Linked DNA regions of Drosophila melanogaster. Changing the gene in region 1 together with any one later gene gives a genetic interaction. Each region holds a gene or a part of one and is shown on either strand. Other genes may lie near its edges.

The links.
Region 2: of Atpalpha (region 1) and sesB, changing one suppresses a phenotype caused by changing the other (phenotypic suppression), as found in Drosophila melanogaster (one study listed by BioGRID).
Region 3: of Atpalpha (region 1) and Ube3a, changing one suppresses a phenotype caused by changing the other (phenotypic suppression), as found in Drosophila melanogaster (one study listed by BioGRID).

Annotation. Positions count from the first base shown.
Region 1 is NT_033777.3:20,946,552-20,953,081, reverse strand, and holds the start of Atpalpha (Na pump alpha subunit), read right to left. Parts: upstream 4,303-6,530; 5' UTR 4,277-4,302; coding exon 4,253-4,276; intron 1-4,252. UniProt on the Drosophila melanogaster protein: This is the catalytic component of the active enzyme, which catalyzes the hydrolysis of ATP coupled with the exchange of sodium and potassium ions across the plasma membrane.
Region 2 is NC_004354.4:10,780,044-10,789,680, forward strand, and holds sesB (stress-sensitive B), read right to left. Parts: upstream 6,865-9,637; 5' UTR 6,763-6,864; intron 4,416-6,762; exon of another isoform or gene 4,308-4,415; intron 2,847-4,307; 5' UTR 2,769-2,846; coding exon 2,734-2,768; intron 2,638-2,733; coding exon 2,337-2,637; intron 2,258-2,336; coding exon 2,130-2,257; intron 2,053-2,129; coding exon 1,578-2,052; 3' UTR 950-1,577; downstream 1-949. Other genes in the region: Ant2 (adenine nucleotide translocase 2), read right to left, coding at 1-77, 154-474.
Region 3 is NT_037436.4:11,204,674-11,212,833, forward strand, and holds Ube3a (ubiquitin protein ligase E3A), read right to left. Parts: upstream 5,911-8,160; 5' UTR 5,534-5,910; coding exon 5,481-5,533; intron 5,418-5,480; coding exon 5,163-5,417; intron 5,059-5,162; coding exon 4,256-5,058; intron 4,194-4,255; coding exon 3,952-4,193; intron 3,887-3,951; coding exon 3,332-3,886; intron 3,266-3,331; coding exon 3,084-3,265; intron 3,018-3,083; coding exon 2,525-3,017; intron 2,463-2,524; coding exon 2,124-2,462; 3' UTR 1,749-2,123; downstream 1-1,748. Other genes in the region: Plod (procollagen lysyl hydroxylase), read right to left, coding at 232-317, 1,061-1,139; CG7600 (uncharacterized protein), read left to right, coding at 6,264-8,088, 8,146-8,160.

The DNA.
Region 1 (6,530 bases):
CAAAACCAGCGATTTGTGGCACGTTGGCACGTCTAATTGGAAGACAGTTGGAATAGGTACAAGGGATCTGAACAGCGAATTCCTGGCGGTAATGCCGCCTAGATCCGCACACCAAGGTTGCCCGGTAACCGTACCCAAATATAACGATTGCGAATCAGTGGCGTCTTATCAGGTATCCACTATCTGTCGGTACCATCGGCCATCCTCTGACGCACTTCACCTGCTCACGACGCAAACCAGTTCAGCTCAAGTGTGGCGGAACCCAAAACCAATTACAGCTGTCGACGGTTATTTGTTTGCCCGACATATATACCACAATTATTTCTCATTATCGAGCGGTGCGATAATTTGATTCGACTTCGTATAGCTGGATATTTTCGGCTACTGCCAAATTGGCATTTGTCCGCTACTTATTTCGATTTGTTTGCATTTGGCCAAAAAGGCACTTTTTTTATTTTTTTTTTTTTTTTGTGCGATCGTGACTGCAAAAGTAGCTTTATGGCAACGTCAGCAGCGCGTATTAAATTGTATTTAAATTAAAACAAATTACGGACAGGCCGAGTTTGTGTGCAAGTGGCGGCAATTGCTGATATTGTCGTCACATATGAGGCATTAAATTAAATAAAAATTTATTATGACGATTTAAGGAGCGTCGGGCAACAAGCAAAGTGCGAATCAAAAGATACAGGCACAGATTCACACACAATTGAGCTACATATACAACTGTATGTATCTTCTGCGAGAATTCGAACAATCTTTCAATTGTTTGCATCATTTGGAAAACATTTTCCATTCCATTTTCGTTTCGAAATGCCAAGATTTTAACATTTATGGCAGGCAGGTATATGTAGCTATTTTTTTATGGATCTCCAGTGCCAAAAGAAATCCCACGGACAAGTGGCAGCCAAATCCGATTTTAGCGAGTTCTTGCGGGTTATATATTTATTTACTCGATCTAGAATAGTTGGATCGCCCGCTGTTTTTTGTGTTTATTCATTTGTTATGCCTTCCCATTTTACCGGCCAATTGAATCCGAGTAATATTCGAAAGTTATGTCATTTCCTTAGCTATGCATTACAGATTGCCCAGTGGAGCCGGCTTAATCTCGACCCAGCTCGTTTACTTCCTCCCACAATGCGTTCGCGGTAATTGCGGTAATTGTTGTCGTTCAGACAATATTAAGTGCGTGACACAAGACGAGTTCAGAGTTCTGGAGATTCACAAATCTCGTCTTACCGCCCGAAACTCGTTTGAACCGGTGGCGAACAGGAACAATTGAGCCATTGTTGAGCTCCGGCTCAGCTACTTCAGGTAGCTGGACAATAAACTACCCCTTCGGAACTAAGCCACCCCTGAAGGGTAATGATCGATGGACCTTGAGAGACCTACAAGCTGGAGACCAACTCGAAAACAAACGAAAACGAAAATAAATCAACGTACCGCTCTAGAACTTAATCTACAAGTGTTGGTCGAGCGAGTGTTATCTGATAAGCAGACGAAAGGTAAATATAGCGCAAAGGCACAGATACAGATACCGATACCTGGGAAACTGGAGGCCCAGACCCCTAATAGCGGGTTATGCAATCGTTAGTAATTAAGACCCTACCCATTGACGCAAACTGGGCATGTGCCAAATATCACACCGCAGCGAAACAAATCGAAGTCCTTGTCGAATGCAATCTGTGTGCTGGATGTGACAGCAAACAGTCAATGGGCGAGGTGATAATTTCCACATCTTGCGATTATGGCCGCCAATTGATGATGCCCACATAGCGTAGATGGCTTTTTCCAACAAGATCTATTCAAACGGTTTGCCATTGTCAGTTGATTAGATTTTTATTGGCGCGTAATTGAATTAAAACGGCCAATATTGTTTTGCTGCCACGCTTTGATTGCCGAAAGCAAGTCACCACCTCTGTCGGACGGTTTTCTGGTATTTTCCAGTTGTAATTATTATCACTGTCGCTTTTACTGCCATCGGCAATCTGTTAAGTAGTTAACGCGAACCTAAAATCTCCGAGCCGGGTAAAACTGGTCAAAAAGGGAAGGGGCCCGTCTATTCGGGTGCACAAAATATCTGGTTAATATATAGTATAGGTGTGTGTACTACATGTCAACGCTGATAACTGCTGATAGTATTCAAATCCTGGGTGTTAGCATTTAGAACCTGCCATTACCACGTTGGAAGCACATTATTCAGCTTATTTGCCGTCCTCTCCATAAACTCTTAATTGCTTTATCTGCATTTTTCGACTGATAAACGGGTAGATGCATACATACATACATATACCAACTAGTTCTCGTTTTGGCTGGCCCTTAATTCCAAATCATTTACTTATGGAACGCACATTGAGAGGAAGGGAACTTCATTATCGCGTTCTTAGAGCATCGTCAGATTGTAGTTTCATGATTTTTGATGTGCTTTCTTAAATTGACTTCAATTGAAAGCGCATGAGTCAGCATACAAAACGAAGCCACAACGCTGGTGGGGGGATGTGAGATATACTCGTACATAACTCAGCTTTACGCGGATTTGTGCGTGAAATCATAATAGAATTTCCACTGAGCACACTGGGTTAAGATATAAGATGTCGTAGTCCGGCAGATTGAATTATAATAATTATGCAACGTTGTATTCTACACCAACAATATTATCATCAGAATTTGCCCTTGAAAATCCGTTGGGAAATGCGTCATATTTTATAAAATTAATTGTATGAAACCCAACCCAATAAACCCAACCACAAATGTTTTTAAACTTAAAATAATTTGCGTAACTTATTTTGATTCTTAAAATATGCATACCACTACAATACTAATAAAGACGTAATTTTGGAATTACATACTTAATTTTATAACAATACAAATATGCACAATATAATATATATTATAATAATTATATAATAATATCTAAATATATTCTACAAGACACTTTCAAGTCTAAGTGAGGTCTTAAGCGTTCTTTTCAAGTTTTCCCGTTACAAATAATATCTGGACCCACTGTTTGTTGCGAGTGGATTCAGACCGCTTGCTCTATAGTTTTGCATACTTTCGGGCCGTCGAACCAGTATGTGTGTGGGTGCGTGCGTGTGTGTGACCTGCCCTTAGACAAGCCCCAAAATCAATAGAGCTGGCAATACGGACTTAGAATTGGTGGTCTAGCCCTAGGAACAGAACCGAAAGCCCGGGTGGAAACAACAACCCTGGCGAAGAACTCATTACCTTCTGCGGGGTAATTAAGTGGCGTCATCGGTGGGGCATTTAGTAACTAATCGAATGGTGAGGGGGTAGGGAAGGGAAAGTAAGGGCTACGTACTGAGAAAAAAGTACGGTAAGAAGTACGTCGATTTACGCTAATGTGCCAGTGTGTGTAATTAGCAGCGCACTACTCGGCCCAATGACACCAATTCCGGAAGGAGGGAAAGCACGGAAAATGGAAAAATAAACGTGTTATGCAGGGTAGTTTCGTTCTAGAGCTCGAGATTCCAATAATGAAATCTGCGAGATGCGGCGGAATGGGGCGTGGTTCGGGAGGGGCGGCAGCAGTACCGGTTATGTAAGCCGAAAACTGGAAGATTTCCAAGCACGGAAAAGCGAAAAGCTTTCGCGCCGGGAAAGTGGAAAATTTGGGAAACTGGTCGGCCTGGAAATGCAAATTGCGCATGCCAGCTAAGCGCACCTGGAAAGCGAGAGAGAGAGAGACAGAGAGGCAGAGAGAGAGAGAGAGAGCAAGAGAAAGGGAGAGCGAATACAAATTCGAGAAAAAAGTCAAAAGCCAGGCTCTAAGCCCAGGCTATTTTTACAGATCAGCAGGTAAGCGGATATAGGCCCATCCAGATCCAATAGGATTAGTAACTGCGCCCCGTTTCACATTCGATTCCGTTTGCAGTTACCGAAAGCCCGCAAACAAATTAGTAAACTTCGTTGGGCGTCGCCTCGGCTTTGTTGTTGTTGTCGTTGCTTCTCGCTTTTTCACCAGCAACAAAACAAATAGTAGTAGCAGCAGCAGCAGCAAGAACAACACCAAAAGCAATGTACACAACACAGATACACGCACACACCCACACAGCGCACTCGGGCTTCGATTTTTCCCACTAAAAACAACGCCCGCTCAGCGTATCACTTGGCCAATTTGTTTTGGCCCTGGTTCTTTTTGGTTCCCTCGTCATGGTCTAACAACAGTTTAAACTTAACCATTTTCTCACTTAACTAACTTAGTTTTCATCGTAATCCAGGCTTTATTTTTGCTCACCTCGTAATCCGACCTTAACGCCATGTTATTTTAATTTAACTCGATTATTCCCAGGGATGTGGAAAATTTACACAATTCCAACGTATCGATATTTTAGAAGTCGTGACTACCAAATGGAGAGTTATCGGCCTATTGTATCGAATAAGCCGGTGTAGAAATCGGGATGGCAATCGGTTAAGAAAATGTAATTGTAAATATTGCATTATGAATAAAATTACTATTATAATTTGTCAATAGTCCGAACAGTCTGGTTTATTTAAAATGAAAAGTTAAGTATTTTAAATATACCTGGATATTTATTTACCGAAAGTTGTTACTATGCTACCTTCAAATATTAATATCTGGATATGTTTGGATTTCAATACTCTCATTAATAATTGCTAATTTAAAATACCAAGTTAAAAATATGTTTAATTTTTCACCTCAATTTGGAAATAACATACTTTTATGTACTTTTTATATCAACTGCAAGCGTGAAAATTACTGGAGCTGCCAGATTAAAATATACACACTACGATAGTTGCCATCTTGAATATTTACAGATATGGAGAGTTGCCAACGTTATAGTTATGTGTATTCAATTTCAAGAGATAATAAAATACCAAATACAATACGCGCGTCTTCTTGCATTCCAAACATAGGTGGCGCTGTATAAGCAAAATAATTTTAAGTGGCAGATAGAACGAAGTGTAGATGGCGTTCGTTAAACGTATAAATTAGCTACTCTCCAAGAAATGTTCAACTGGACTTGAATCTTCTCAAATTTATTTCCTATGTTCAGTATTGATCGTTGATCATTGTTGCGATGAATGGCTTCAAACGGGCCAGAGATTCTCGAAGGCTCAGCAATTCGACGATCCTGTGGGGAAAAACGCATCTTGGAGATTATAAGTTCAGCTTACTTAAACTAATTAAATTATACTTAAATTTCAAGATACACCTGATACCCCTCGTCATCATTATCCAGCAACTTATCATTGGAAGCACCAACTGAAGGTTCGCCCGAAACCAACAGACCGCGTAATTGATTATAATTAAATTATGAATTTAATTGAGAACACTATTGATAAGTACGAGTCACGATGTGGAACTCAAGACGAAGATCTTCCAATTTGTCAGTGTAATGGAGCTATAAACATAACAATCCTCCAAACGACCAGGCATTTGGAAAACTTATCTCCGTCCGCACAAGATCTCATTTTATCATCCGAAATGCTGACCTCCACTTGGTCGAAGCTGAATTTATCGCAACTCTAAACCCCAAATATAATCAGGATAATTAGATGTCTCAAGTCATTTTGTTCTTGAAGGCTAGCATGTTCTATCTAAGTTAGCTTCCCAGCAAAATGGCATCTAAATTTCTACAGATTCATTCAATTGATCAATTCGGTGACCAATTACAAGGAAATGCCAAATTTGCACACTCTTACAAAGAGCACAGTTTGCACGGTTTCATTTGCCCTTACCTTCTCCGGAAGCTTCAATTGGTTTATCCGGTTAATTAATATTTTGAAATCAATTGTTGTCGACACGAGCACAAACAAGGAAGCAGCTCCAAAGGGGCTGCGGTTGCTTAGGCGAAACGACTTTTCGCTCAGCTGCAGAGCAACCCACTTTCCACTTTGCCCATCCTTTTGCCCGCCCTCTCATCCTGCGGCCCCGTCAATCGATTCAATATCCCATGGCCATTAGAAGGAAGCCGGCTCGACTACAAAATTGAGCCCACATAAGCTGAGGGGAAATCGCCTTGTTGCCACTGCCACTGTCTTCGGGTTTGGCTTTCGCTTTTGCTTTTGCTTTGGCATTGGCTTTGGCTCAAATAACCTGAAAGGCCCAATCAACAGGTGTCTTTGCCTCTGCTGCGTGCTGGTGCTTAGTGTTTCTGTGTGTCTGGGTGTTTGTGGTTCAACAACCGGGCCACCGGCGGCAAGGAGTCAGCTTCACGGCCGAGTCGGATGCCTCGGTGTGTGCCAAGCCAAATGGCGAGAAATAAAACTGGAATAATTCAATAGGAGGCGTGGCCAGCCCACTAAGCCCATGGGTAGGAAGTGGAGGGGGGGGGGTGTGTGGGTATGGCTGCGATGGTTGGATTCAGTTCGGAGAAGGCAGCTTCATAGCTTGCGTAATGAATGTCCTTAGCAGGCTGGGCACGTTTCATGTTTTTTCGTTCATGTTTGCTCTGCCAGGCTCCTGGAATCCCCCATCCAGGCCGCCAATTTGGAGCCAAACGGAAGGACCAGAATGCTGGCCATTAAAGCTCGTGCTCCTCCAGCTCCTT
Region 2 (9,637 bases), on another chromosome or scaffold:
GCTGCACCGCCAGAGGCCAAGTTTCCTGCAAAGTGGCGCCAGAACTGCTTGTGCTTGTCCACGCCCCCGAGGAATACCTGTAGTATGTTTTATGTTTTATATGTTATAGGCGTATGTGAAATGATTATTATAAGGATTGTCCAAACAACTAACCGATTTGTACACATCCTTGAAGGCAAAGTTAAGGGCTTGAGTTGGGAAGTATCGGATTACGTTGGCCAAGTTGCCGCGCCAGAACGACGAGAAGCCCTGCTCCTTGGGAATGCGAATGAAGCAATCGACTATGCCCTTGTAGCGCTGATCTGCCGCGATCTGCTTGGAAACCTCCTGCACCTGCAGAATGAGCTTCACGCGCTCGATAGGAGCCACTGCCGTTTTGGCTATGGCAGCTGAAACGCCGCCCATCATGAAGTCCATGAGGAAAGACTTAAGGTCTCCCTTGCCATGACCACCGCCACCGCCTTCATCGCCCATGTTAGTTTACTGTTTAATGATTTTAAAACGATTTAGTTTAGCTTCAAAGTTGGTTGGTAAAAAAGGATAAAAACGGACTTTCACTTTTTACAATTTTTAATTTTGATGTTACAACGTTGAGATCTGAACTGAGATTGGCTAACGAGGTTGTGTGCCAGTCGGTCGAAATGACATTCGATGTATTTATCGTGGCCTACTTTGACCAACAATTTTAGAAGCGATGAGCGTACGTTTTTTTCCTCTTTTAACAACAGAAAATAATTATAATAATTTAGCTTCGAACTGCCGAAGATTAAATTGAGACGACCAATTGGTTGACTGCACAAATGGTCTGTGTAAGTATGCTAATATAATTTTTGAATTACAAATACATATGTACTTTCATTGCAATAATTGGGTTCAAGTCGAAATATGAAAGATCGATATACATACATACATATGTACGTGCGCAGAAAGAAAAACACAACATTGTACTATTTTTATCAATTTTTATATATTTTTAAACCAACCGAAGTTGAGTTTGTTTGTTGGTTTGTCGTTTCGGAGGCGAAAGAATCTACAGGTCTTCGGTTCGATTCTTTGCATCCGATCGATAACACTGATTTGGCTGGGGAGATGTGGGACGACCCAGCAACATGACTGGATCTATAGTATATAGCCTAACCCAAACTTAACAATACTAATCGATATCGTCGCTATGTTCGTTCGTCTTTCAGTGTAGTGGGTCTAGTCTCATGTGCTGAGTCGCATCCTCTCTCTGCCCCGAGCATTGCTGTTTGCTGTAGTATTGTTGTTCTATTGACGCTGGCCATCGTTCCGTAAATTAGTTCCCAGTTTTTATAAATAATATAATTTCATAATTATATCGGGGTGAGGAAGGAAGGGTTCTTGCTGTTATTGCTTGCCGTTGTTCGTGGTAAGAGGTGTTGGTTGCAGATCAAACTTAGCTTATGCCTTTGCTGTTGCTATTGCTGTTGTTTTAGCTTTTCTCATTCAGTTATCTAACATAATTAGCTGGTAGTGTTTAGTTTTACTTCTTTTGTTTTGTTTTGTTGTTGTATGTTGTTGTATTTTGCTTGTTTTGAATAATTTAATAATTTAATTTACAAGACCTTCTTGATCTCATCGTACAACACAAGCACGAAAGCGCCACCAGTTCCTCTGAGAATGTTGGAGAAGGCGCCCTTGAAGAAGGCACCGGTGCCCTCCTGCTTGGCGATGGTGGCCCAGCAGTGCAGTGTGTTCTTGTAGATGACCTCGGTGGCCTTGCGACCAGACTGCATCATCATGCGACGACGCACGGTATCGAAGGGATAGGACACGATGCCAGCGACGGTTGTCACAACCTGGGCGATGGCCCAGCTGATGTAGATGGGTGTGTTCTTGGGGTCGGGCAGCATACCGCGAGCGGTATCGTAGAAGCCGAAGTAGGCGGCACGGTAGATGATGATGCCCTGCACGGACACTCCGAAACCACGGTACAATCCAACGATGCCGTCGCTCTTGAAGATCTTGGTCAAGCAGTTGCCCAGACCGGTGAATTCACGCTGACCACCCTTGCCAGTATCAGCAGCCAAGCTGTAAATTCGTAGCGAAAGCATTACGTTAGTTTATTGGACATTTTTTTTTTGTTTTTCGCAAATATACCAACATACCGAGTACGGGCAAAGTCCAAGGGGTAGACAAAGCACAGAGAGGTAGCACCAGCGGCACCACCGGAGGCCAAGTTGCCGGCGAAGTAGCGCCAGAACTGGGTGTTCTTGTCCACGCCACCCAGGAAGACCTAAGTTACACACATAATAGCAACCGGGGCGTTAGTGTTTTCCGCTCGCATTGCTAACATGCAGACTGCAAAGTCTCACCTGCTTGTACTTGTCCTTGAAGGCAAAGTTCAGAGCCTGGGTTGGGAAGTATCTGATGACGTTGGCCAAGTTGCCGCGCCAGAAGGACGAGAATCCCTGCTCCTTTGGAATGCGGATAAAGCAATCAACCATGCCCTTGTACTGCTTGTCGGGGCTGATTTGTTTCGAGATGTGCTGAACCTGCAGGAGCAGTTTCACACGCTCAATGGGGGCGACGGCAGTCTTGGAGACAGCTGCGGAGATGCCTCCGGCAGCGAAATCCTTGACGAATCCAACAGCATCGAAATCCTTGCCCATTTTGCTGTAAACACATCGTGCAATTGGCCAAAACTCTGATTAATCTCGACAGTTCCGTCATCGCTGATGGTGATACTTGGTGATACCGATGATGATATACCTTTGTGATGTTATGGATGCTGATATATTCCCCATGGCATGCGGGTGATGGTGCGTTGCATAATGGTTACGATATACGTTTACGGTATTTTTGTATAGTGGATGTACGATTCACTTTGTTTACACGGGTGCAAAAAAAGGCACAATAGAAGAATAGCCCAAAGCCAAATGAAAATGTGAAAATTTTCAATGTATTAAATTATAAACCGAAACCGAAAAACATGCACTTTTTTTTTATTTTTTTGAACAGTTATAAACCGAAACCGAAAAACATGCACTTTTTTTTTTGAACAGCACTACAAATGGTTACAAAACATTTTTGCGGGTGAAGTAAAAAGGTTTTAGCGACAAATGAAACAAATAAAAACATGCACAGTTAGTATAAATGGCAACTTAAACTTAATGCTAAAGGGGGTTAATATTGAATGGTTTATGGAAACATCAGCGTTTTGGTTACAATTATTTGTTGTTTGTGTTAGTATGCGTGTTGGCAGTTGCCGGTAAAACTGGTTTTGTGCAAAAAAGGTGAAAAGTTTTATTGGCCGGCTGGTTGCCACGTGGTGGTTTAAATCGATATAAAATAAGTACTGTTGGAAAATTAAGTTCTAACCAGTTAGCTTTGAAAACTAAGTAAAATACATGGCATTACGTGGCATACATAAATACATAAGTGCTTATCTAATTTATGTTATCTAGAGAATATGACATAAATCAATTGCAGTTCTAGTTGGATAGAGCGGCAGTCTACTGGTTTTCATTGAGTAAAGATTGGGGGATTGCATAATTGCCACACCACACAAAAAAAAAGAAAAGAATTGAATTGAAAAAGTTCAATGGAAAAAGCCAATATATATGGGCATTTGAGTGGGTGTGAGCAAGATGGCTATAGAGGCCACGGTTTTTTTTTTTGGCAGTTGGCATTCGCCATTGAAGCGCGTTTTGTTAATTTTAGACTTTCAAGAGCAGCCGCCGCTCTGCGTTAGCCGTGTGGTTTAAATTATATTTTAGCGAAATTAAATCAGCATTTCATTGACAAGGGTTTTATGTAACACACTTGGCAAAGAGAACTGTGCTTTGCCATTGTTTCGTTTCTCTTCTGTTCTCTTTCTTTGAAATAACAACCGTTATCTAATCGTGTTAGACTTTTGATTGGCTGGAAAGAGAGTGAAGCTTTTTCTTCGGCCACAGCCACAGAGAGCCGAGAGCTAAAAGGCTCGTGATGTAATAGCCTCAGCTGGAAAAATTCTACAGTTGCACGTGGAAAGCTTCCACCGAAGGCTGAGCAGTCGTAGTAGTATCCACAATCCAGTGTTAAGTTTATTCTTAATTCATTGTTATTGATTGCATAAGACCACCACCACACACCAGAAAAAAAATTGTTCAATGAATGATTCAAGTTCAACTCTTTTGTTGTTTTACATAACCAGGCAGATTTTCTTTCAATGCTCAGGTTGGATTTGATTTAAAAAAAAAAAATAATAATAAAAGCATTAGGAACCACACGCGTATTTTGTTAAATGGGCTATGGCTCAATTCGATTCGATAATTGATATCCAATTTGTTTGCCATACGTACAATTTGTATTTGTGTTTCTATATCACAGCACAAAACCGAAAAAAATTTATCCTTATTCCTCGGAAGTCAGAAGTCTGAACCGGACGGCAACTGAATTGCTTGTGAAAGTTCCTTTCGCCGAAATCTGCCAGCTAGCCTGCTCTGCCTACGTCGGCGTCGCAGTCGCCGCCATCGTCAAGTTCAGCAACAGATGAGCGTGAGCGAGAGAGGGGGAGAGCGTTCTCTCTCTATATGCATATGCAGAGTATGCGAAATTCGGAGAGAGCCGAAAAAAAACTAGCGGTTGGCAACAGCACGTGTGCGAGCGAGAGAGGGCGAGAGATCGCCGCTTATCAGTGCTGAGAATTCAAGAATTCAATGTCGCCATTCGTTGCATAAGAGGAAGTATTGTACCACACACTTGTACTCATTAGAAAACACTTTTTGTTTCGTTTTGGCCATGACCAAAAATGCATATATGGCCAATTGTTTTTCATTTACCCCTTTCGAGGTTTTCGACGGCGCTTTCTAAACGCTTGCCAAAATGAATGTACGCACAACATTTACATTTGGCAAATAGCCGACAAGTCAGCTGCGAAGCAGACGGATAGTCCCGTTTAGCTAGTTGTTAGCTAGATTTCTAGAAGATTGAATAGTGTACTTCTATTACACCCAAATACATGTCTTCCTTATTCAACAAAATTGGGGTATCTTTGATATTCAGTTTTAAGAACTACTTGGACTGGCTTAGAAAACTTCAATATACAGCAGTGAACAATTTATTCAAATACAAAAACCAAAACTATTATCAATTTTTATAAAAATAAAAGTTGAAAAGAGTTGAAAGGTTTTATTAATTGTTTGTAGCTATTTAATTGCTAAGCTATTAATAACATTTGGCTTTATTTCTAAAGATAGGGTTGGCAGCACTGCTAGCATGTGACTTTGCTTTCTGACGTCCACCTGCCGCTCTCTCCCTCTCTCTCACGCTTCGTCTCTTTCACGCAGGCGGAAGAGGGGCGGCGCTCGAAAAAAAATGCGTGAAGCGATTAGATAAACACTTCTGCTAATACAGTTAATTTATATAACTGTCTACGACACTTTTTCAAGGTCCCGTTATCACAAAAATTACATAAAAAATAAAAGAGAGCTAGTTGCCCATCAAAAAAGAGAGCGTAAAAAATGCAGTTGCAAAGTTACTGCAAAAATGCTTAATTGCCAAAATTAAACGGCAGCGAAGTTATAATTTTTATGGCTCAGTGTGCGATGAATCGGGGTTTTAGGACAGGGCGTGGATCGGCTTGAAAATCACACTGAAAATTTCCGCCGACTGGGCGAGAATTGGAAATGTGATTCGCCAGGGATATGTAATAATAAACACTAATCTCAACCAAGTGCAAAATCGCACTAAAAGGCCACACAAAGGGCTACAATAAACAATAAATCACATGAATACTATACGTACATTAACGATTGACGTCAGAAAGGGTTTAAGGGGTATGGGAATGGAATAATAATAGAAGAAATGAGAACACTGGGGAAACCCGTTTTTTTCGCATGAATTTTTATCTTTAATAAAAGAAAGCAGGTCAGAAAAGAAAGGGAGGCAACCAAAGAGAAATAGTTACATTACTCTTAAGAAATAAAACCAACTCTCTCTCTCTTCTTCACACACACACACCCGATAAGTACTTGCACGCGCAGCTGGTGTCTGGCATGGGAGTGAGCGAGAGGGCGTTAGTGGCACATGGAATTTATTCGCAACTGTGTGTTCATACACACTCATGTGCGACTGGGCGGTAGAACAATCAATTGCCACGCGTTTTACTATAGAATAGCCTGCATTTGGTGTATATAATAATATATTTGTGCAAATGCAGGCCAATTTGATTCTAGAGAAGTGCAATTCTCTTTGAAATATAATCGCAATTCATGTGCAACATTTTTTCGTACAGACGAGCCGGCCTGCCAACTCGTTGCTATTGCATAAGTTGGCAGTTCCAGCGTGGTTGCAAATTGGAAGGAAATAGATGGGAAAAAGATCCAGCGTGGCTTCTTCCATTTTCTTTCTGGGTATTCTAAATGAACTTTGGATTGGGGGTATAAAATACCGAAAAGTTTGCTAATACGCCCAATTTATTACGTGTTTAATTGATGGCAAACACAATTTCGGCACAATTATTTTTCGCAAGGGTTATGTAAGCACTTTTCGGGTATTTTCAAGTCCCATTTCGGGATTTCTTTTCGATGCAGTTAAACCGGAACTGCTTGTCGAACATACAAAAAAAAACGTTAGTTTAAACCAACACCGACACAATAAAAAAATTAGCACATTACATAACTACAGAATCTAGCGCAAGGTGACGTGAATTAATGGGTAAAAAAAAATCAATGGCAGGTACGGGGCACACCGTCTCTTTTCTTGTTAAGCAAAAGAGCCTCGCAAATGTAATAGATATAGAAAATAGCACAATACCTTCAGTTGATAACTTCTCACAAAAGTCACAGAATAAAAACTTCTTTTGCAGAATCAGACGAAGCCGCGTGCTCACTTGGCGAATGAAATTCGTAAAGTGGTGGGGGTCTCGAGGGCCCAGTGACTTGGGGATGAAAGCTGCAAAAATACCGCATATCGATAGTTGCTTTAACTGGTATTTATTCGGCGATCTATCGATATTCAGCTAGATTTCGGTTTTTATTCGTGATATTTTTGTCGGTAACTTTTGCTAGTATAAATAAATATGGCTATTTTTGATGTAATTAAAACCAGTATATTACGTTTTATTATAAAATTAAGGCAAGCGGGGATTGAAGCATCAATATCGATATTTTTTAATACCTTAAAAATATTTTTACATCGACTTTCCCATTATGTTATATTATTTTATATTATATATTATATTATTGCGAGTTCTGAATTACACAAAAGTTAAAGACTATTTTATGTTTTAATAATGGATTCATTACAATTAATCTGCACGCTTCTTTGGGAAATTAACAACGACCTGTACGACCTCCTTTTGCCAAACTATGATAAAAACTAGTTTGAATGTATTGCATTTAACGCGGTTTTTTAATTGCTCTTTTTTTTACAAAAACAAAAGTTTTCTTTTTATATTAAATCAAAGGTTTGTCCAAAATTGGAATATCTCATACCTCGTTGAAATCGTTCCAAATTCCTCATCGAACTGTATTTAAGTCTGGCAACTTTAATTTTTGGCCATTTTTTGCAAATTTGGTTATCGAAAATGAGAAAATCGGTAATTTGTCGAATTTTGATGATGGTACCCCTAATGAAAAATTGCTTAAATTGGTCAAAAAAATTATTCCTGAAACTCGGTTTGAAAGTGTTACAGATTGTTAGCAATGTTAATAAGCAACACAAAACAGTCATCGTTTTAGCTGAGCCACCTTTTTTGGCCAAGTTATTCTGAAAAATGTTTTTCGAAAATATCATATTCTTAATTTTAAAACGTTGTTGAAAAGGATAATCGCAAAACTTGATTCAAAATGCACTTCTTATATACGAAAAATCATTTATTGAGTAAATTTCTTTTCGATTTGTTTTTCACATGTTCACAAAATTGTATTTGAGTTAGTTGTATATCTGGTTTTCTAATATTTTCCTTGGCCTTGGGATACAATTTAGTAAGCTTTTGTGTCTTTTTATTTGCTGTATGTGGGTCTTGTATACGGTAATTTCGTATTGAGCGCTAGCAATATTAACATTTAGTTACACCGAAATGGGGAAAACATCTTACGCAGATTAGTATGTTATGTATACACCTATGTATATCTCTAGTTTTTGAATCAGCACCCTGGGACAGGCCAGAATACTAGGAGTTTTGGGCGTGCTGAGGGGTATGGTAATCAAATGAAGAACCCTTTCTTTTGAATTTCGTTGGTTGGACAGAGGGGTTAATTTAAAGGCAATGGTAAAGGTAAAAGATAAAGGCAAACAAATGCAAAGTACTGGCTAGTAAATACTGGGGCCTCTAAACTATGACGACACATCTAGACATCGAGTCCTATGTCCTTTACGTGGTTATCTAGATTACTTTCGGGTACATATTCCATGGCAGATACAAAACATACACAGAGTGGATATTTGATATATGTATAGTATATTGGTTATCGTGTACCGATTGTGTTAGCGTTTTGCTTGTGGTTAAAAGACAGTTATACAATGTAATTGGGAATATAGTTTTGTTTTCATCCTATTTGTGTGATTTATTCGTTCGCTTTTTTTTTGTTTATTTTTTTTTTTTGTGGTTTGTTTTTGTTTTTATTTAATTTTTTCTTGTATAGGAAACAACAAAAATGGACGCAAAATGATTGTTATAGTAGTATTCATGTTTACCCATCTTGCTTTTACGTTTAGTTAACTATATAGGAATATGCAAAACGTACACTTAATATATTTTTTTTGGTTTTGTTTTACGATTTTGTTACTATGTTCCTTATCGATCTGATACTATATAAATGCAGCTCTAAAACTTGTATTCTTTGACATTGTTCTGTTCCATCTGTCTTTCTTTTTATTAACTATCTTTCGATCTGGCGGCATCTTGCATTTGTATATCTCTTACGCTTTTCAAATACATTTAATAACATTTCTATAGAAATATTCAAAGCTGAGGTAGTTAATTCATTCATTTATTCTTTATTTTAGTTTACGTTAGGTTATGTTAGTTTAGTGTACTCCATATATATGATCGGTGTTGTTAGTTAGGTATACATCTATGTATGTACTCACACGCTATTTGAATTTATCTGACGACTTTAGCTCTTCTCAAATTCACATTAAATTAATAATTTAGACAACTGTTTGAATAGGGGGTTACGGATCATTAATATATGTATGTCTGGGTACAGGGACAACATCGAAAGCCTCTCGAAACGATCGGGATTATAGGATTTCGGAATCGAAGCCGATTTGGAAAGGAGAGAGGAAAACCAGTTACTGAAAATCAAAAATACTGAACTACAACGAAAATAAAAACAACCAAGGAACGAATTATTTTTGTTTTTTTTTTTGTGTTTTTAATAATATTTTACTCTTTTTTTGTTATATTTATAATATTTATAGATATTTTAGCTCTGTAATGTAGATACAATGTACAGTGTAGATACATCTGGTGTCGTCACATCATCCTCATGTAGATTATGTGTAGATTAAATGAACTTAACAGTAAAATGTAGACGACGCAAAAAAAAGCTCTAAACTAATTTAGGTAAAGATAAGGATAAATTTAAAAATAATTAATGTAAAAATAGTGGTATTTTTTTGTAAGTTTTCATCTTTAATTTTATGTTTTTTTTTGTTTTAAGCTTTAGTATATTATGTGTAA
Region 3 (8,160 bases), on another chromosome or scaffold:
TTGTTCAGGCAGAAGTATATGCATAACTGTATTTAATGTTCTCTAATTTTTATCCCAGATGGTAGAATGTCTTTCTTGATGAACTGTCAAGTTTCAAAGTTCCAACCGCTTTATAATTCTTTTTCCGCTAACCATAATACCTAACTATAGCAGCTCATAGATATTAGATAGACAGTGTGAAACAATTTCTTGTCTCGACTTTAAAATGCTCTAATTAATACGAATCCTCACCTCAATATCGTAGACTCGTGCAGATCGAATATATCTAGTATAGCCATCGGTGGGTTCAGTGGCCACAGTGAACACTTTGATTTTGTCTGTAAATTAACATATATATGAATCAATAGTAAAGATTAATAGAAAGTAAGTCATTACTTTTGGATTATTTTTAATTAATGTAATTTAACATAAATTTAATAGTTTCTTATATTGCTCGTTGAACTTGCGTAAGCTCTACTGTATTCTAGTTTTGGGTTCTAATTAGAATACAACAAAATGATATTGTATTGTCTGAAGTCATTAAATTATAACGAATACATGTTAGACAACAAGTTCGGCTTGTTTAAAGCAGTTTAATTTCTGAATGTGTAAACGAATTTGCTGTTTGAGAACCATTTTGTATCTTTCATCTCAGATGCAGATGCATCTGAACACTTGAATCTGCATCTGCTCCGTTTTCCGAGCAATTCCAGAGTAAACGACCGCAGCATCAAAGCGAAACGAAAACAAAAGCAAATTAAAAGGCAAGGAGAGATGTGGTCGGGTGGTATATGGATCATAAACAAATTCTCTGAGATATGTACTGCACATACACAGAAAAAAGTAAGGGGAAACTACATTTCGGACTTTTTATGTTTTGAACGAGAAAAGGATGTTCTAGTTTCTTATCAAGAATGATAAGAAAAAACCAACCGCATCACATCCCTTTTTATCTCTGTGCATTTGTGTAATAAGTACGGCAGTGGAATGCACTTAAGATCGAAAAATATGAAAACATGAATGCAATATAATTTTCTATGGCTGCTGATGAACTCATTCTAGTTAGAAATTAAGAACAAACCATTCCAATTGGACTCGGCATCTCCTTGCGACGTCACGGCCAGCAGCAACAACAACAAGGCGCTTTGTTGTATTCTCATGATGCTGGAGCTAGTTGCTCTCTCTCTCTCTTACTCGCACACACAGTGAAGCACTCGCTATCGGTGGTTAAAAATTGTTATAGTGAACAGTACTTTATACTAGTTGCATTTTTTTGTGCTAAATGCTAAGGAAATCAAAACACCTTCCGCTCCACAAAATATCGGGAGTCCCACCCGCAAGAAACTCAGAAACGCGAATAACAAATGTGTGGCTGCGGCTAAGCCGTTAGAAAATATCGCCTGAAAAAAAGGGCCTAAAAAATCCACTAGTCCCAAGTCAGCTGTTGTGAAATAAGGCTTTCACACCTCTTTTTTTTTTAAATGTGTCTAGACTAAATAAAAAATAAAGTTAACAAGTTATTTTTTAAGTTAAAAAATAAAAAGTACTTCACACCGAAATTTAAATGTCAGCTAGTGTGAAATATTGCTTACAAAATGTTTTGTATTTGATGTTTCTATACTAAATTAAATATGTAAATATAATTTAAATGAATCTTTTTCCACAATTTTAATTTGTTAGTAATCTTAGTTTAAATTAAAAATATCTAATATTAAAAAATATTCCATACTTGCGAAAACCAATCTAAATGGAAAATACATCTGTTTCTTCGCCGAACTACTTTAAATTTATTTAGGAAAATATTCAGCGCGTACTGTTTTTAAATGTGGGTGTTGTTCCTAGGGTAAGTTCACATAATGTAGTATGTGGCGTGTTTATGTGTGTGTTTATGTACAATTAACTGGGCTAAAGAAGGGAAACAAAATCGCGTGTCCGTTCGGTCTGCTCGCTTCGCCGTCGCACCATATAAATTGAGCACATATATTGGGTATGTATATATTGTCTCATTGAACAGGTCGTATCAAAAATAAATGGCAGAACCCAAAACGAACTCAAACCGATCAAAGTCTTCGAAATCTTCTTCCCAGAGAGGTGGTGGTATCAGTTCCAGATGACAGACTTGCACTTGCAGTTTGGACCATAGTCTACAGCATGCCGAAGCCCTTCGAGTAGTTGATGGCCTTCATCAGGCGCTCCTCCAGCTTCTCGCGGCTGCTGTACTCGGGCAGGAGGAGAACGTTGAAGCAGGTGTGCGAGGTAGGCAACCGATCGCTATCCGGACCGTGACGCGTGATTAGCAGACGCAGGCATTTCAGGCCGCCAACCGGAACACGCGCCGATCCCGTCGTGAATTCGAGCAGCTTGTGCTTGTCCTCGCTGGGCATCGCATGCACTATGCTCCAGAAGTCCTGGATGTACTGGCTCTTCTCCGTGTAGCCGCCCTCGTACACAGTGGAGTTTTCCAGTTCCACAAAGTCGAATTCCTGCCGAAGGTTTCAGAGTTCAGCAACCGAATGAATTTCGTAATTTGAATTTAGCTACTCACACGACTGCCGCAGACCAGCATTTCAATCTCCTCTGGACGGAAGAGCAGCTTCAGTGGCGATTCGTCCGTAACCATTTCGAAGCCCTTGCGGAAAGCATTGAACTGCTGTTCGATATTCGTGTTAAGCAGGAAATCACTGTACAGGTTGACAAACAGTTCCTTGTTGTGCTGCCCCACCAGTACATCCTGGCCGTTCGGCACCAGTTCGTGTTGTACCACATCACCGAAAACATCGCTATAGCTAATCTTGAAGGTCTGTTCGAATACCTCCTCCATATCCTGGCCCTGATAGTCCAGCATGGACTTCAGACTCTTGTACAGCGCCGGACTCCAGTCGCTGAGGTCTGCGAACGTGCCGCAATAGCCTATCAACTTGCGATAGACCACCATGGGGAAGTTTACGGCCAGGGTGACGTTGTTATAGATCGCCAGGCCAATAATTATACCAATCAGAGTGAATTGCGCTCCGTTCTCAAATGGTGTGGCATTGAACCTGCATATGTATATATATATATTTATATAGTTCAACTGAACAGATTTATCCCAATTGAATACCCACCACATATTGTTGGTCTCCTCTTGCTGTATAAACATTCCAAAAGCCGGGTTAAATATCTCCTCCACGATTAGCTGGAAGAACTCTTTGGATACGCCGCCTTCATCGATCCCCTGCTCGCCGACAAACTCCACCACCAACTGCTTCTTGAGATCCTTTGGATTGCTCATGGCCACCATTTCCAGCTGGGGAATTAAACGTGTATTAATTACGCCTGTTAACTAGGACACTAAAGAACCATTTGTACACACCCCAATAAGTGCGTCGTTGATGAGCTGGTCCCTTCGCACCGTCAGCTTAAGATCCGGCCGAGGATTATCTTCCTGTCCTACCTGGCCAATATTGTTGAGGATGGAGTGAAGGGAGGAGTAGCGCTCGCTATACATCCTCATTCGACTGTCATAGTACAAGGCATCCACTTTTGTTGACGGCGTGAGGATAAAGGCGTACAGCATGAACGAAAAATAGTTCGCGTGGCCGGAACCAATCTCGCTCTCCATGGCTAACGTCTTGTAGGACAGGTAGTCGTGGTGCATCTGAATGTTTTCACTGAGTGCCTCGTTGTAGAACTCCTCAAGTGGTATCAGTGGTTTCCGGCAATCGATTGCCGACACCTGCAGCTCCTTTTCAAACTGATCCTCGGCGAATTTGGGCATGTGCGGCTCCAACAAAGAGTTGTAGACGAATAGGTCGTCCTCCACTGCTGCGCTGCCAGATGCGGTCGCCGCTTCCGTTCGATCCTCCAGCGGCACCCGACACGACGGTCGCTCCAGCTCGCTAGCCAGAATGTTCGCGTAGAAGACAATCTATCACAGAAGAAGTTAACCCAACTGCATTACAAGCCATATTGCATAATAAACCTAACAAATACCTTTAAAACTTTGGTGACACTGATTATGGATTCGTTCTCGCGCATGGATTCCTCGTCCAAAAGCACCTGTAGAGTAATTTGCTGCTGGCAGGCTGCGATCAACGAATGCAGCTGATCTGAACAATGAGCAGCCCAGATCCTGGCCAGGCGCGCCTGTGCCGGCACTGGCATGGCCGACGCCGCTTGGCACAATTTTGGCAGCACCCTGTCCAGATAGTCCATGTCCACCACACTGTTATTGGCTAAAGGGTTATGAGAAAAGCTGTAACTTGAAACATTCCAGGCATACAATTGAAAAACTCACTATTGGTGGCTAGATCAAAGCAGATGACCAGACAGTGAATGACCCTCTCCCAATCCGTACGCATGTAAATCACCCAGTCAGACAGCTGAATAACGCTGCTGGTAAGCTTCTCCGTTATAGCTCGTATTTGACAGCCAAAAAGGAGACGCTGCACTCGTCGCAAACCGGGCAGATCCACCAGTGTGTCGCTGCTTTGGGATGAACACACATCATCGTCCTCTTCTTCGGGCTCCGCCTCTGATTCGACTGATTCTGCAGTAGCAGTAGCATTAGCCGCCGATTCTGATTGTTCGTCCACCTGTTGTGTACTGTCTTCGTCTTTATCGTGTTCCCCTTCCAAAGTTCGTAGCTGCTCCTTGTTTAAAGCCCCCGGTGAATTGGCCAGCAGCTCCTGGAGACTACTAGAAGCCGCTGGTTCTGCGCTGCGAATGAAGCTCTTGCCCAGTCTATCTACGCTGGAGAACACAACGCCGATTGCGTGGCAAATCCTGTCGTAACTGTCAGCCGCCCTACATTGCTCATAGAGCGCTATCAGACTGTTGGCATCCAAGCTGTGGACTGGCGCCAGGGTGGGTGTACACGGTTCCGAGTCGCCGGAGGAGTGTTCAGCGCCGGCGATATCCAGTTGCGGCACACTCTGGGTAAGATATGGACTGGATACGGGCACTACAACGGCAGCTGGCGTTGACTGCGATTGTCTGCTGGTTGTCGTGGTGGTACTGGCTGAGGTAATTGTGCTTGTCGAGCTGCCGCTGCTACTACTGCTACTGTCGTTCGGCGAAAGCATGTCCACGTCCTGGGGGCTAAAATGGGAAAAAATTTAATTGAAAGATAATTACCTATAGAAAATCTTATCGGTGCTCTGGAAACTTTGCTACCCAGTTCCATTTGTTAAGAGAATTCTCACCTGTTGGCCTCCGATGTGAACGCCTCGCAGAGCTGTGCATCCTGTGAAAAGAGCTGCAGTGCTCTGGCGGCCACCTCGTTGGGCGTCATGGGCGCCACCTTGCCGCTGGAGGCGCAATTGGCATTGCTGCAGTTGGCGTTCCCACAGCCGGATTGTAGTTGGTGGAAGTATCGCTTGATTAGGCTGCGCACCGCCGAACGCTTCATTTCGGGCGTGGCTCGCCCGCCCACCGCTCCAGCTGCAGATCCTGATGCACTGATGGGGGGCAAAGAAAATCAGATTTAATATGCCACAACGTAAGTAGCTGAAGTTATTCACCTGGAAACACCTGGCAGATGCTGATCATCCTCGCCACCCCCGCCACCGTTCATCTTCGCTGAAATCTGCGCACTTTACGCCCCCACCGCCGCCGCCCCTTTCTTTGTTTGTCGAAAGTGATTTTGCTCCACTCACAAAACGAAATGGGAGCAAAAAAAAATCGATGTTGATGTCCCTTTTTTGTGTCGCGGCTACCTAAAATTCTTATGCTGAAGCTACTCAGCCGCTGCCGTTGCCTCTGTTGCCCGCTCGTCGAGCGCTGAACGCCGACTTCCTTGCAATCTGATAGCAATCCTTTAAAGCTCGATAATTCGTCAACGTTTTGACAATTTTGACTGTAATAGCGTAAGTGTTTATGAATGAAGCAGGCAGCAACGAATATTGAAAATCATTCTAAACGATGTGCTATCGATGAACTAGTGATATCGACAGCACACCGATAGGCACATTCTTTATCGGACAGTATTGTTAGTCACTGCCGATAGACGTCCGTTGGATGTTTGCACTTTTAAACGTGATTGTGAAACTCCAAGGGATATTATGACTAATACTAATAATAATCGAACTATCGAAAAACTGGTTGCTCGCCAGTGCTGCAAAACACCGGCGGTCTTATCAGCTGTCGACGTATGAAACCAATAACACCGTGTCCGTATTATCGGATCTATCGTTCCTCGAAAAAAAAAGAAAAATAATACGCAGGAAGAAAATACTGGATTCCGTAGCCGGAGCGAATGCAATGAGTTAGTCCGACCAGCCGGAGAAACCAATCCGAGTCGCAAGATGACGGAGCAAGAGGATTTGGCCACCAGCGGAGGTGGCAATGCGACCACTGGCTCTGGAACCAATTGCCAAAACCAACTGCAGCAATGTGTGCGTGGGAATGTCACCTGGGAACTGCTGCCCGTGCACCTGCGATCGGTTCTGCACAACAATCAGCGTGACTACGAGAAGTTCGTCTTTAACTATAGTCTAAAGAATCAGCTGAGGTTCCGGGGCAACCTGGCCGCCAAGGTGTTTCGCCGGGAGCAACGCTACTACGAGCTATTGATACAGAAGAGCATCAATGGATTGGGCGCATTTCCCTACCACCTGGCCGATATCGTCACCAAGGGCTTGAGGGTGACGCCCTTCAACTACTATCTGGATGTTTTGGGTCAGCTTTTGCAAAGCGACAAAAGCTACGATACTTTGCCCAACTTTACAGCAGCCGACTGTCTGCGTGTCTTGGGCATTGGCCGCAACGAGTACCTGGCCCTTATTAGCGATATGAAAACTCACACACCGCGCTCCTTGATCTTCGGGTCGCGGCCCAATCCGCTGGACTTCCTGCCACGCTTTCCGGTGCGCATACACATCGAGCCCTGGTGGCGACTGGACATTGGCTATGTCCTGGAAGCGGATATTCGCTATCTGTCGCCCGCTGAAAGAGGCCTGCTCGATGACTTGATTGACTTTGGAGCCCAGCCGGCTGGGAAATGCGATCACGACGTGGTGCACAGCCTGTACCGGAAGGGTTTGATCTACTTAGATGTGCCCATTAGCGGGGAGGACAGGATATCCATACCGCCGCTGCGCAACTTTGTGATGAATCGTGTGAGCGGGGACTACTTTGAGAATCTGCTGTACAAGATCTTCGTTAGCGCGGATGAGCACATGACCATTGCCGAGTTGGCACAGATGCTGCAACTGGAACTGGATAGCGTTAAGCAGGCCATATCGTTTATCTGCCGTCTGGGTTTCGCACATCGCAAAGAAGATCTGGTCAATCAGACGAATCATTCCAGCTGGGAGGGATACAACCAGCAGCAAACGCCAGATACGCCGCAGATCACACCGCTGAACTACAATTTGCATACCAGTAGCAGCTTCGAATTCGACCAAAGTCCCAAATCGCCAAAGACACCCAAGGAAAGGGAGAAGGACAAGGATAAGGACAGCAGTTCCATAGGCTACCTCTCCTCGGATGGCAACACGAGTGACTTCAGCTTTGCCAACCTGAATACGACACCCCAGGAGAGAGTGAACAACAGCGATGAGCAGGAACTGAGTTCCGAGCTGGAGCAAGAGGATATGTGTGCCCCAAAGCAGGCTGCTCCATCGGCTGCAATATCAGCGGCTGTCTTGCCAAAAAGCGGTAAGAGGGTGGGCTTTCTCTTCGACTCCACGCTCACCGCTTTTCTAATGATGGGCAATCTGTCGCCCGGCTTGAAGAATCACGCTGTGACCATGTTTGAGGTGGGCAAGCTGTGCGAGGAGAGTCTAGACAGTTTTCTGGCTGAACTGGAGCAAGTTTCGCTGCTGGATGCGGAAGGCGAAGGCGACGTGTCGCGCTATTTCGCCCACGCAGTCATTCTGCGTTCTACCATTTGCTCACTGCGACATTTGCTGCCGGGCGGTTTAGATCTGCTGCGATTAGAGTGCCTAGAGGGTTTGGATCAGCAGACAAGAGATCGCGTTCTGGAGAAGAAGTACAAGTTTATAATAGCCGCTTCGCCGCTGACGGCGTCGCTCAGCCATACATTTAGCATTCCTTACTTCGGCCAATTCCTGCGCAGCTCCGATGTGGCGCCCATGTGGAGCAAGCTATTCTACAATCATATCACAGGTAAACTTCTTTATATTGTTATCCCACTAGTTATTCTCTAAATACCTATATATTCAGGCTATGGACCGCCTA